Linked DNA regions of Oryzias latipes. The protein of the gene in region 3 interacts with the protein of the main gene of each other region in a biochemical or structural test. Links are inferred from orthologs where the notes say so. Each region holds a gene or a part of one and is shown on either strand. Other genes may lie near its edges.

What was found.
Region 1: the proteins of rab31 (region 3) and eea1 form a complex in vitro, tested with the Homo sapiens proteins (2 studies listed by BioGRID). The link is inferred for Oryzias latipes from reciprocal best matches to the Homo sapiens genes RAB31 and EEA1.
Region 2: the proteins of rab31 (region 3) and ocrl form a complex in vitro, tested with the Homo sapiens proteins (2 studies listed by BioGRID and IntAct, with this or other methods). The link is inferred for Oryzias latipes from reciprocal best matches to the Homo sapiens genes RAB31 and OCRL.

The regions. Positions count from the first base shown.
Region 1 is NC_019864.2:21,591,100-21,594,856, forward strand, and holds the start of eea1 (early endosome antigen 1), read left to right. Parts: upstream 1-1,279; 5' UTR 1,280-1,444; coding exon 1,445-1,468; intron 1,469-3,757. Other genes in the region: diphosphoinositol polyphosphate phosphohydrolase 3-beta, read left to right, coding at 23-243. UniProt on the Homo sapiens protein: Binds phospholipid vesicles containing phosphatidylinositol 3-phosphate and participates in endosomal trafficking.
Region 2 is NC_019868.2:9,863,279-9,866,103, forward strand, and holds part of ocrl (inositol polyphosphate 5-phosphatase OCRL-1), read left to right. Parts: intron 1-1,279; coding exon 1,280-1,364; intron 1,365-1,555; coding exon 1,556-1,683; intron 1,684-1,819; coding exon 1,820-1,931; intron 1,932-2,825. UniProt on the Homo sapiens protein: Catalyzes the hydrolysis of the 5-position phosphate of phosphatidylinositol 4,5-bisphosphate (PtdIns(4,5)P2) and phosphatidylinositol-3,4,5-bisphosphate (PtdIns(3,4,5)P3), with the greatest catalytic activity towards PtdIns(4,5)P2.
Region 3 is NC_019875.2:4,811,182-4,814,903, reverse strand, and holds the start of rab31 (ras-related protein Rab-31), read right to left. Parts: upstream 2,831-3,722; 5' UTR 2,653-2,830; coding exon 2,617-2,652; intron 1,944-2,616; coding exon 1,864-1,943; intron 533-1,863; coding exon 451-532; intron 1-450. UniProt on the Homo sapiens protein: The small GTPases Rab are key regulators of intracellular membrane trafficking, from the formation of transport vesicles to their fusion with membranes.

The DNA.
Region 1 (3,757 bases), on a different chromosome or scaffold from region 3:
CCTTCCACGAGTGCCCTCACAGGCAGGAAGAGGAAGTGGTTTAAGATTGATGAAGCCATCGAAGAGCTGCAGAGCCACAAGCCTGTCCACGCAGAGTACCTGCTGAGACTCGCAGACTCCTGTGGTCCTTTTCGTGTCTATACCCCAAGTACCGACAGCTGTCCGTGCACTCGTGTGGCAGAAAACGGTGCATCCCATTGCTTTGTTTGCTCCACACAGGGCTCTGATCTGGTCAACAGATAAGACTCACTGCAGGCAGATCCACCGAGAGGACTGTGTTGGACTTCATGGTCTGAGATGATTGCATTAACCCTGCCTTTTAAAATGTACAGAATGAATTTATATCAAATCCAAGTTGAATTGGACTAAAGAGATGTATGATTCTTTATAAATGTATTTATCAATTTCATTAAATATTTTCCAACTGCAGTTGAAGCCAAGCATCTACTTAAAATATCAGGTGGATTAACTTTGCTGTGCATATGCAATGTAAAGATATTACAAGAGAACTATATGTTGAGTTGAGCTGTCAGGGGTTTTCATAAGATTTGTACTGTATGAAGCTGGTGCCAATTTGATTTTTTTGTAGAATGTTTTGTAGAAAAATTGTGGCTTTTTCTAGTGTCATTTTGTGCTCATTTGAAGTGATGGGTAAAACCCCAGATTTCTGCTAGTAGTTAAAATTTTCTTTAATTATATGATGAAGCAGTTTTTCTGAAGAAAATCATATTTATAAAACATAAAATTATGCAGGCACCTTTTAAATGTGAATTAAAAATATCCTATTAAATAAAAACAATTCAAATTTTATAGTAAAATGACTTTGTGTTTTTCTTTCTCCACGTCTCTGTACCAGAACCAAACCTTTATTTTTACTTTGATCATCACTTTTTGAGGTAACTCTTATTTATTGCACTTTAAGTATCATTAATAAATATAATTTATACAATTTGCTGCAGGTTAAGTTATTGTTTTAAGGAGAATTATGTTCGATCTCATGGACAGGAAATGTAATTTTAAAGAAAATATTAAATAGGAAAAAAAATGATTAAAAATTCATTATGATAAAACAAGAAACCACGTTTTTATTATTGCCCTTGGCTTATATTTTTAAATAAAGCCTTTTTCCTATTCATAGTTTTTTTTTGTTTGTGACTAATCTTGTGTGCTACATCAAGTTATATGTATATATGTATACCAAAACGAAAATATTCCGTTTTATATTTAGTTGTCATTTCGTCGTGCTGCAGATCTTGACCATGTTGAAGTGAAATTCTTGCGTCCATCTCCACATGACCCGCCCATCCGCCGCTGCTGCTCAGCTCCCTGTGTCTGGTCAGGTGCTCGTCGTTCTCAGACGTAAACTTTTCATTTAAGCACCTGGATTCAGTTTGCGTCAGGACAAGCCAAGCCAAGCCAAGCCAAGCCAAGCCAAGCCAACGCCATGCTCCGACGGATACTTCAAATGGTACACTGTTAGGCTTCTCTTCGGCCGGCGTCGCTTCTGTTGTTGTCAGGAGTGCTTGGTTTAGAGACACGGGCCTATCCGTGTCTGGTTTCGTATCACGGGCGCTTGGTTGTTCATTTTGTCCTCCGTAGTCAGGCGGGGTTAAATATCTTAGTTAAAGGCTACTTAACAACGGCGTACTTTGTCGTTTCCGACAAGTCCCGGTGTGGAAATCAAGCTTCCTTTCCCTTTGGTTGACAAAACTAGCATCAAATGCTAACTTTGTTCAGTTGACAAGTGGTTCTTTTGACAAGGTCGAAATGAACAGCTGTAAATAAAATGCAGTTTACGAGCACACTGTTAAAGGGGCAACCGAGAACGTGTGTTAGTTTAAACCTCCGGTCTCCGAGACCTGTTATTTTTATGGTTTCTGTGTTAGCAGTACAGTAGCTGTGTGACAGCTCCAGGTTAATTCATCGCCAACACTGCCTTTCTTTAGCAACAAAAAAAATTCTGCGTCAATCGTAACTTGGCGATGAATTGAAAAACCACGAATATATAATAATTATGTCATGACAGAATAGGTGGTTGAAAAACTACCTGTTTGACCTGAAAAAACAAACAAACAGCTAAATAGTAAAAAAAAGCCAGACTTTTAGAGCCTCGTCGATAATGAGGGAAATTAATCATCAACGTAAATGCTTTTTTTATTTTAGTTATAATGGTTAGGCGATTGTTATACATAAAGAGCCTTTGAAGTGCAAAATAATTAACAAAATCAAAAATAAAAACTCAAATGAAATTTAAAATATTCTGTCCCTGCGGAACAGACAGAGACACGGGTTGTATTTTTTTCCACACGAACTTTTTTAAATGACGGAATGGTTGTTGGTCGTGTTTTCAATGTATTTGGGGGGGGGTTCCCACTATGAGCCAATAAGAAGATTCAAGTCTTTTCAGGAGTGCCTAAACAGGCTTATAGCTTCTTCAAATAAACATAATTTACAGCTTTAAAAAATAAAAATAAATTTTTTTCCTGCTTTGTAATAAAAACAATATTGAGCTGTAAAACATAAAAGAGGTCTTATTATGATTAAAATAATATAATGCGGTTTTTACTTTGTTAAAGTACCTCTACCTTTGGCTATTATGAAATGCAGATGTATTTCATTGGAAAATTAGCTTTTAGTATGTTCTTAGACAGTTACATATTATTTAAAAAAATATAATATATGAAATAGTTTACTAGATATTGTTGTGGTTACTATACTGAAGACTGAATCATATCTGCGCCGTTTGCTTTGTGGGGTCAAAGGTTACCCCATGACCTACACTTTGTTTGCAAGCTTTTCAATGATTAGGATCAAAAAGCCCACCATGCAGATCCACACAAACACACATTTTGACCTCATTATTCAGTCATGCAAGCCATGCCCAACCCAAACAAATTCTTCCTGTGAATGGTCTCTCTGGCACACCCACCAGCGTGTTTATGCTTCTGGTCTGTAAACTTTATAACACTTCCTTTTTAGCTGAAATCTGAACTGCAGAGTGCTTTGGTTAATGAGTGTTAGATCATGGCCTTTGAGCGATGCAGTAATGTTTTTATACATTTTGATGAATGAAGACTTTTTGTAGTTTGCAGATGGATAATCTGATGAATAAAGCTAAACATGTTCCTGAGTGTCTTGCCAGTAGGTTCCAGCCACTTGTTACCCATAATTCTTGGAAGCATTTTATTAAGGCAAAGGCTAAAATATGGTCAATGAACATTATCTGGGGTGGGAAGAACTGTGATCTGACAGTACTTTATCTGATACTGTTAGACAAGGGGAAGGTAACTGAAATGTCAACATTGTGATAAAGAGAAAAAATGTACCAATGTTACAAAAAGATCACAGAAATATAAAGATAGAGTGCAATTATCATAAATGAGATAGAGCCTGTGTGATGAGAGACTACAGCTTGTGGACCGACGATGTTACATTAGTCGCTGCTGTTGCTGAGGTGAATAAAACTCCTTTAACATCTGGGCTGCTGGGCTTTCTGTAAGTCCCCGTGTTTACAGACTCCTTTTGTAATTGCCTTCTGCAGAAGGTGCTAAAAGGGGCTGGGAGTTGGGGAGAAAATTTAGGTGGTCAGTTACAGAGAACTCTGCGTTGTTGCTGTGAGGTTACAGGATAAATAACAATCAAAAATATGCTAAACACAGCCGTAATTGAGTAATGCTAATGAATTTTGTGGTGTTGGATACAGACAAAATACATTTATAGGGTAGTTTATACATTATTTTTTAAGGAACATCATTTT
Region 2 (2,825 bases), on a different chromosome or scaffold from region 3:
GCACGGCTGCAGCTGTGGGAAACCTTAAGTCAGTTTGTCTTTTTCTCTGTTTCCTTTTTAATCTCTTGTGTCTTTTACTTTGACCAATGACGTTTTTTAACAAGATCAAAGAAAAGAGCGGCTGGATTATGGGGGGTAATGTTTTCATAATTCAGGCACAGCCTTAGATACAAGCATAAAGGACTGATTTCAGAAATGATAAATTGGAGATTCAGAGTTCCCATTGTTTAGAGGGACTTTATTGAGTAGCATAAAGCAGATATGGAAGTTTATGGCCTTGAGCTTGTGAATGAGTTAAGAGGAAAAGACGGGATGTGGCAGACGGATTGCGTGGGTTTATGATGGCGATAAGAAAAAGTCTTTATGTACCAGGCTAGCAATGATTGTGCACAGTTAGATTGGAGCAACATAAATGCACTTCAAAGAGCATGATTGTTCAGTCCTGGTTTAATATATTCTTTTATATTTTTACTTTGACAACTCATTGTCATCTTAAATAACATTCTGTGGTGTTTTGTGCATCAGAAGAGATGAACACAGAGGAATAACAGGCTTAAGTAAAAGAAGAAGTAAAGTTTGTCATTTATTTGAAGGTATTTCATCAATATTAAAAATGGATCTCAATACTTTGTGATGTCATCCTGGTTGTCCGTGAGAGAGGTTAAAGGTCAACCAGGTTTGCACTGTAGCTGCTTTTTGGGTCCATTCTTCCACGTAGATCTTCTCATGAGCTGTGATGATGTGGAACTGTTGCTGGGCAACAGAGACGTTCTCCTCCCTACACAGATTCTCTGTCTGATTGAGACACTGGCCACACCTCTCCAAAACCTTGACTGACTTGCCACTCCTTCGTTGTCCGGGTGATGTGTTTGGGATCCTGTCCAGTCAAGTTTCATCTTCACTGTTCTCACTGCTTGGAACCCTGTAATGTAGACCTAATAAGGGGCAGCCGTGGTGCAAAAGTAGAGCAGTCGACCTCTTATTGGAGGATCACAGGTTTGGTTCCCGCCTTGCTCGCCCATGTGTCGGAGTGCCCTTGGGCAGGGTGCTGAACCCCACATAGCTCCTGATGGTTATAGGTTGGCGCCAGTCAGTATCACTCTGTTTATGGTCTGTATCAGAGGCACTTTGAGTACTTTTATGATGTAGTCAAATGTATTTAAGGACTTGTTCCACAAATTACAATGTATTTTTTCATATAAAATGTTTCATAGTGACAGCTGTAAGTTTTGTTGATAAACTGGTGTGGACTGCTTTAATATTGAGTGCTGTCTCACAGGAGGACTTGTTCCAGACACCAGGCTTACAAGAGGAACTCCAGCACATCATTGAGTGTCTTGACACCAGCATCCCAGACTCCATCCGTATCCTCTGCTGTGCATTCCTTAAGACTATGTTAGATATTGTGAAAGGAACTCTTCCAATTTTGCACTTAAAGTAAATAAAAACAAGACACAGAAACGGCTCATTTTAGAAACACAGTTGGATCTGCTGACTATCCCAGCTTAGACTTTGTGAAGGCTTGTTCTATCTCAGTCTTTAACTCCCTGCATAGCTGGTTGTAACCACTCTGTAGCTGAGGCTCTGCTGATCTTCCTCGAGGCCTTGCCTGAACCCGTGGTGTGTTACGAGCTCTACCAGCGGTGCTTAGAATGCGCTCACGACAGCCGCCTCTGCAAGCAGGTCAGTCACAGCGAGTCTGATGTTGACAGTAGTCAACTGTTGGCAGTTGCAGACAAAAAAAGGCTTACAGATTTCTATTATTTTATTTTTTTCTATTTGTTGTGATGATGTTTGTGTTTGCTTTGCCGTCTTCCAGCTGATCTCACTGTTGCCGCGAGCACACCGCAACGTCTTTCGCTACTTACTGGCCTTTCTGAAGGAGCTCCTCAAGCATTCACACAACAATAACCTAACAGCCTCTCTAATAGGTAAGTGTTATCCATGTAGCATTTCCCAGAGATGATCACACGTTGGTTCAGTCAACTGGTTTAGTTCTGACAATATTATCTGCTTGAAGGCCGATCTGAATGCAGAGGGCTCATTTTTTAAGGGGAGTTTGTTCTCTCATGCAGAGCTACAAGAACGAAGGTGGCTGAAAGATTTCACATTTCACAAATGGCTTCATAGTTCACACGCATTTTTTTTATCCCTTCATTGTGTTTCTTTGGATTTAAAAGAAAAATGCTAATGATTTAAATAGATATTAAATAAGCTAGTTAAACACATATTCTAATCCATGCAGCACAATAGCATGTAGCATCTGTTGTCATAATAGTAGAAGATCCCATGTTTGACTTTGTTGTCTTGCATTACTACTTCAAGTAAATCTGCTGCAGCAGGAGGATCTGATTCCACCCAGGGTGTACTTTATTTTGAAAGGATCTTGTATGTGTTGCTGTAAAAAAAAAAAAAAGTAAACAAGTTAAAGTTGTTATTTATAGAAAAATGTAACACTTTTGGAATTTAATAATTATCAATATTTAAAAGCTACATATCATAAATGAATGGCTTTATGGCCACACCAATACATATTTAGTGTCTTTTTTGGCTCTTTTGGTGTTAAAGGTTGCTGACCCCTGGTTTAGTGGACATGTTTTCTGCATTGTAACTGTAAAACACAGTGAAAATTCAACAACGTTCCAGATGGTACAGTATCGATAGCAGCAGTGTATTATGGGTGGAACAAACAGAGCAAATGTTTTTGTTTGAAGCTCAGGAAAATGAATTATTTATTCATGCTAGAGAAAAAAAAAGTTAATATTTACACCCAAGAGTTCCAGGGCAGATCACTTCATTCAGCATGCACTCAAGACACAATACAC
Region 3 (3,722 bases):
ACGCCAATTCATGAGCCTGATAGGATTATCATCCAGATTACAGACTGCTGATTTAATGTCTTATGTGTAGTGGTTTGTCCTACGGAAAAAACAAAAAAAGAGACACAAAAAAAGTCTTGTATATGTGGGTTTTCTCTGGTTTCCTCCCAAAGTCCAAATAAATGCTCCATAGGGTAATTGATGATTCTAAATTGCACCTATACGTTTGCATGTGTGTATGCTTGTGTGGTCCTTTGACAGACCGTCCAGGTTGGGCCCTGCCTTCACCCGGCAGTAGCAGGGACAGGCTCACGACTTGGAAAATTGTGAAAAGACTCGTAGTCTTGACTCCATAGCGCACTCAAAGCTCCTCTGAATCTACTTTACTGAAGTTCTGTCATCATGCTGGAAATGTGAGCATAGAAAAGAAATATTCATGAAAACCTCACTCAGCAGAGGACAAAAACTCACCCGTTCCTGACCAGCCGTGTCCCAGATCAGAAACTTGTGCAGCTCATTCCCACAGGGGACGGTTTTGGTCAGGAATGATGCTCTGTGGAGGATTCAGCGGATTACACAAGCATTCAAATATCCAGTATTTAAAGACCTACTCCAATGAAAAAGGACTTTTTGGTGTTTTAACATGTTTTTCTAATATTTTTCTAATGATGGAGGACAATCGTGCTGTTCTTAAGCCTTTCAGAGTAAACTGTAACCATTTATATGATGGTATATGATAGTATATTACCTTTAGCACACTAAAGAACACATTTTTTTCATTAAATGCGATTTATTTTCACACCTCATTTTTATACCGGAATTAGACGCCTCGATCTCTGAGGCTCCGCCTTTTGCTGCTTGTGGGTGTTATGACGTCATCACAGTGGCGGCCTCTGCGTTTCTCCCACGAAAACAACCGAACTTTTACAAAGATGGATGTAAATCTCGTGCATAGAAAGGGGAAGCATTCAGCTAATCACCACTAGCTCCACTGAAAAAGTGGGCGTGTCTGTTAGCCTGGAGGCGGGACTGGCAGCACAGACTCTTCCTGAAAGGGGCGGGAACTCAGAGAGCAGGTAGAGGAATACTCAGAAATGTCTAGACGAGTCAAAACACCACTTTGGGGTTGTGTTTTTTTATTTTGTGAGGAATTAACATTATAATACGCTTAAAACGTTGATTTTGCATGATATAAAACCCCCGTTTCTCTATCAGGAGACTGGACTCCAATCCCAGTGTCCTCTGCCAGGAGGATGGCACCCTCACCCCACCCTCACCCCCCTTTGCAGCCCAGCCCTCAATGACTCAAAGCCTGCATACAAACAAACACAAAAACAACATATATCGTTTATTTTACTCTATTAATCAGATGAGTAAAATATATTTGTGTAGTTGATTTCGCAATTAAGATCTAGTATGTAAGGTAGTTCACACTTAACACGCATCGGATTGTATTTTATTTTTAAAGGCTGGTTCTGGTAAAAATGTTCACATTTCCACTGTTTTTTTGTTGTTTTTTTCTTGAGCTGAATACAACCCTGACACAATTATGAATGAATAAATCCACAACCTTGAATAGACTTTTCCATCTGTCTAAGCCCCTCCTCCGCCTCTCTACCTGCTAAAGAAATACACAGCAGCAGGTTGACACGGCAGTTGGGCGCCCTAGCACAAATTTTGTTAACTTTATGGGGAAGTGGGCGGCTCTAGTCCAGGATAGAAAACTGTCAAAGTTTTTAGTGGGTTTTTTCTTGCGGGGGGCGCCCCCTACAAGATTGCGCCCTGGGCGACCGCCCATAGAAAAAACCACTGCCTCCTGGTTGTTGTTCTCCGTCTCTGTGTTGGTGTTTGGTGGACATTTCAGGACGCTTGTCCCGCACTTACCCGATGGTCGGGCTGATGTTGTGATCGAAGTGGTCCTGAACGAACCGGCATACGATGCTGGACTTCCCGACTCCAGTGTCCTGGAACCAAAAAGGGGTACGCGTCAGTCCCGCATGAGTCACGCATCCTTCACCCCATCTCATCGGGACAGGAGCAGCATGCGGTGTGTTCAGGAGGTCGTTTACAGCGGTCGTGTGTGTGGGGACATAGTGACAGTTCGGTTAACTTAGTCCTCATCTGCGTGACGGGAGCCTGGAAGGGCCACGAAGCTCGAAAAAGTTCAGAGTTCATCGTTTTAGTTTATGAAAAACACAATGGCGGCGCTTTTTAAATAAAAGATCACAAAGTATACTGGATCAAACCAACGCAGAAAAAGACAGCACGGGGGGGGGGGGGTTCTTCTCCCCTATTTTCTGCTAACGCAGCAGAAAAATCTCTAACGTCTGCGGTCAGCGATGAAACAAGCTTTTAAAACGTCTTAAATAAAGTTGAAAGGTAGGACGAAATATTTTTGTTTAAAACCTGCGATGCGAAGCTCTACATGAACCCCCCCCCCCCCCCCCCCCAAATCTGTTTTCCTCAGAAACATTTGAAGTATTTCTGTTTTCAAACACGACAGGCAAGGAGAAGTGAGGGGAAAGTCCATTTAAACATTTACTTAAGTGACAAAAGGGGCATTTAATGTTTGGAGTTGAAGTTGCAGCCAACTAAAGAGGAATTTTCTCCGGAGTGCATCATCAAAGAAAAACTCACCCCTAAAAGACAAACTTTGAGCTCCCGGATGGCCATGGCGGGTCCTGGAACTAAGCGGTTAGATCATCGTTGAAATGCGCGGATTCAGTGTCTTCGCTCCTCCATGCTGCCGAAATCTCCTTTTCTCAGATTAAAAAAAACGACCAAGCCCTGACACAGCCTGGCCATCCTCCGGAGAAGCCCGTTTGATGGAAAAAAAAGAGAAAAAAAAGCAACAAATGGGAAACTTCCGGCGGCGTCTTTCAAAGTAAAAGCTTTTTATGACGTCGGTCATCTGTACACTTGGAGGTTTTCAATCAATACTGCAAATGTCATCAAGTTTTTATTTAAATCTAAGCCGAGTTTTTGTTCGAAGGTACTTATTAATTTTAGTTACAGATCTGAGGACTGAAAACTGAAGTATAAAGTACCATAAACTAAAATGTGTAACAGAAATGAATGCTTTTGAAGAAACTAGAACATTAAACATATCTTTTTGTGTAAATATAGTAGGTTAAAAAAAAGCAGTTGAAGGTGAAACAATTTAAATAAAAGAAACCAAATCCAGTCTGCTTCCTTACCTTCTGTTACGGTAACTGAAATCAACCTGGATAAATACAAATTTACACACAACTTTATGTAAAATCATACATATACATTTATCAAAGTAAATGACAACCACACACACCAACAAAAATATGTGTACTGTAGGCTGCAAATGAAACAGTTTTCATATTTTCTGTTGAGTTTATTTGGTTTTAAAATCTAATCATTTCACAGCTTTTATTTTGGTGGGATTTTGTTAACATTGACAAGCTAGATTTCTAAAAGAAAGTCCTTAACTTTCTCACCATTCGAGTCCAACAGCCTCTTTTAGAGAAATGCACAGGTTTATAAACCAGGAAGCAGATTTGAAACAAGACGTCAAGTGCTAAATGAGGAAAAAACACTTTCAGGATCAAAAACGTTTGGGCGAGAAAAAGTTTTAAGAATGATACTTTATTCTTCACAGCATTAGTTTGTCTGTAACAATCTGCTACCAAAGCTCAGAGCGATATGAAAATAAGCTGACGGGAGCTGCTGAGCCCAATCCGGCGTGTTTCAGTCACAGGATTCACAACACTGGA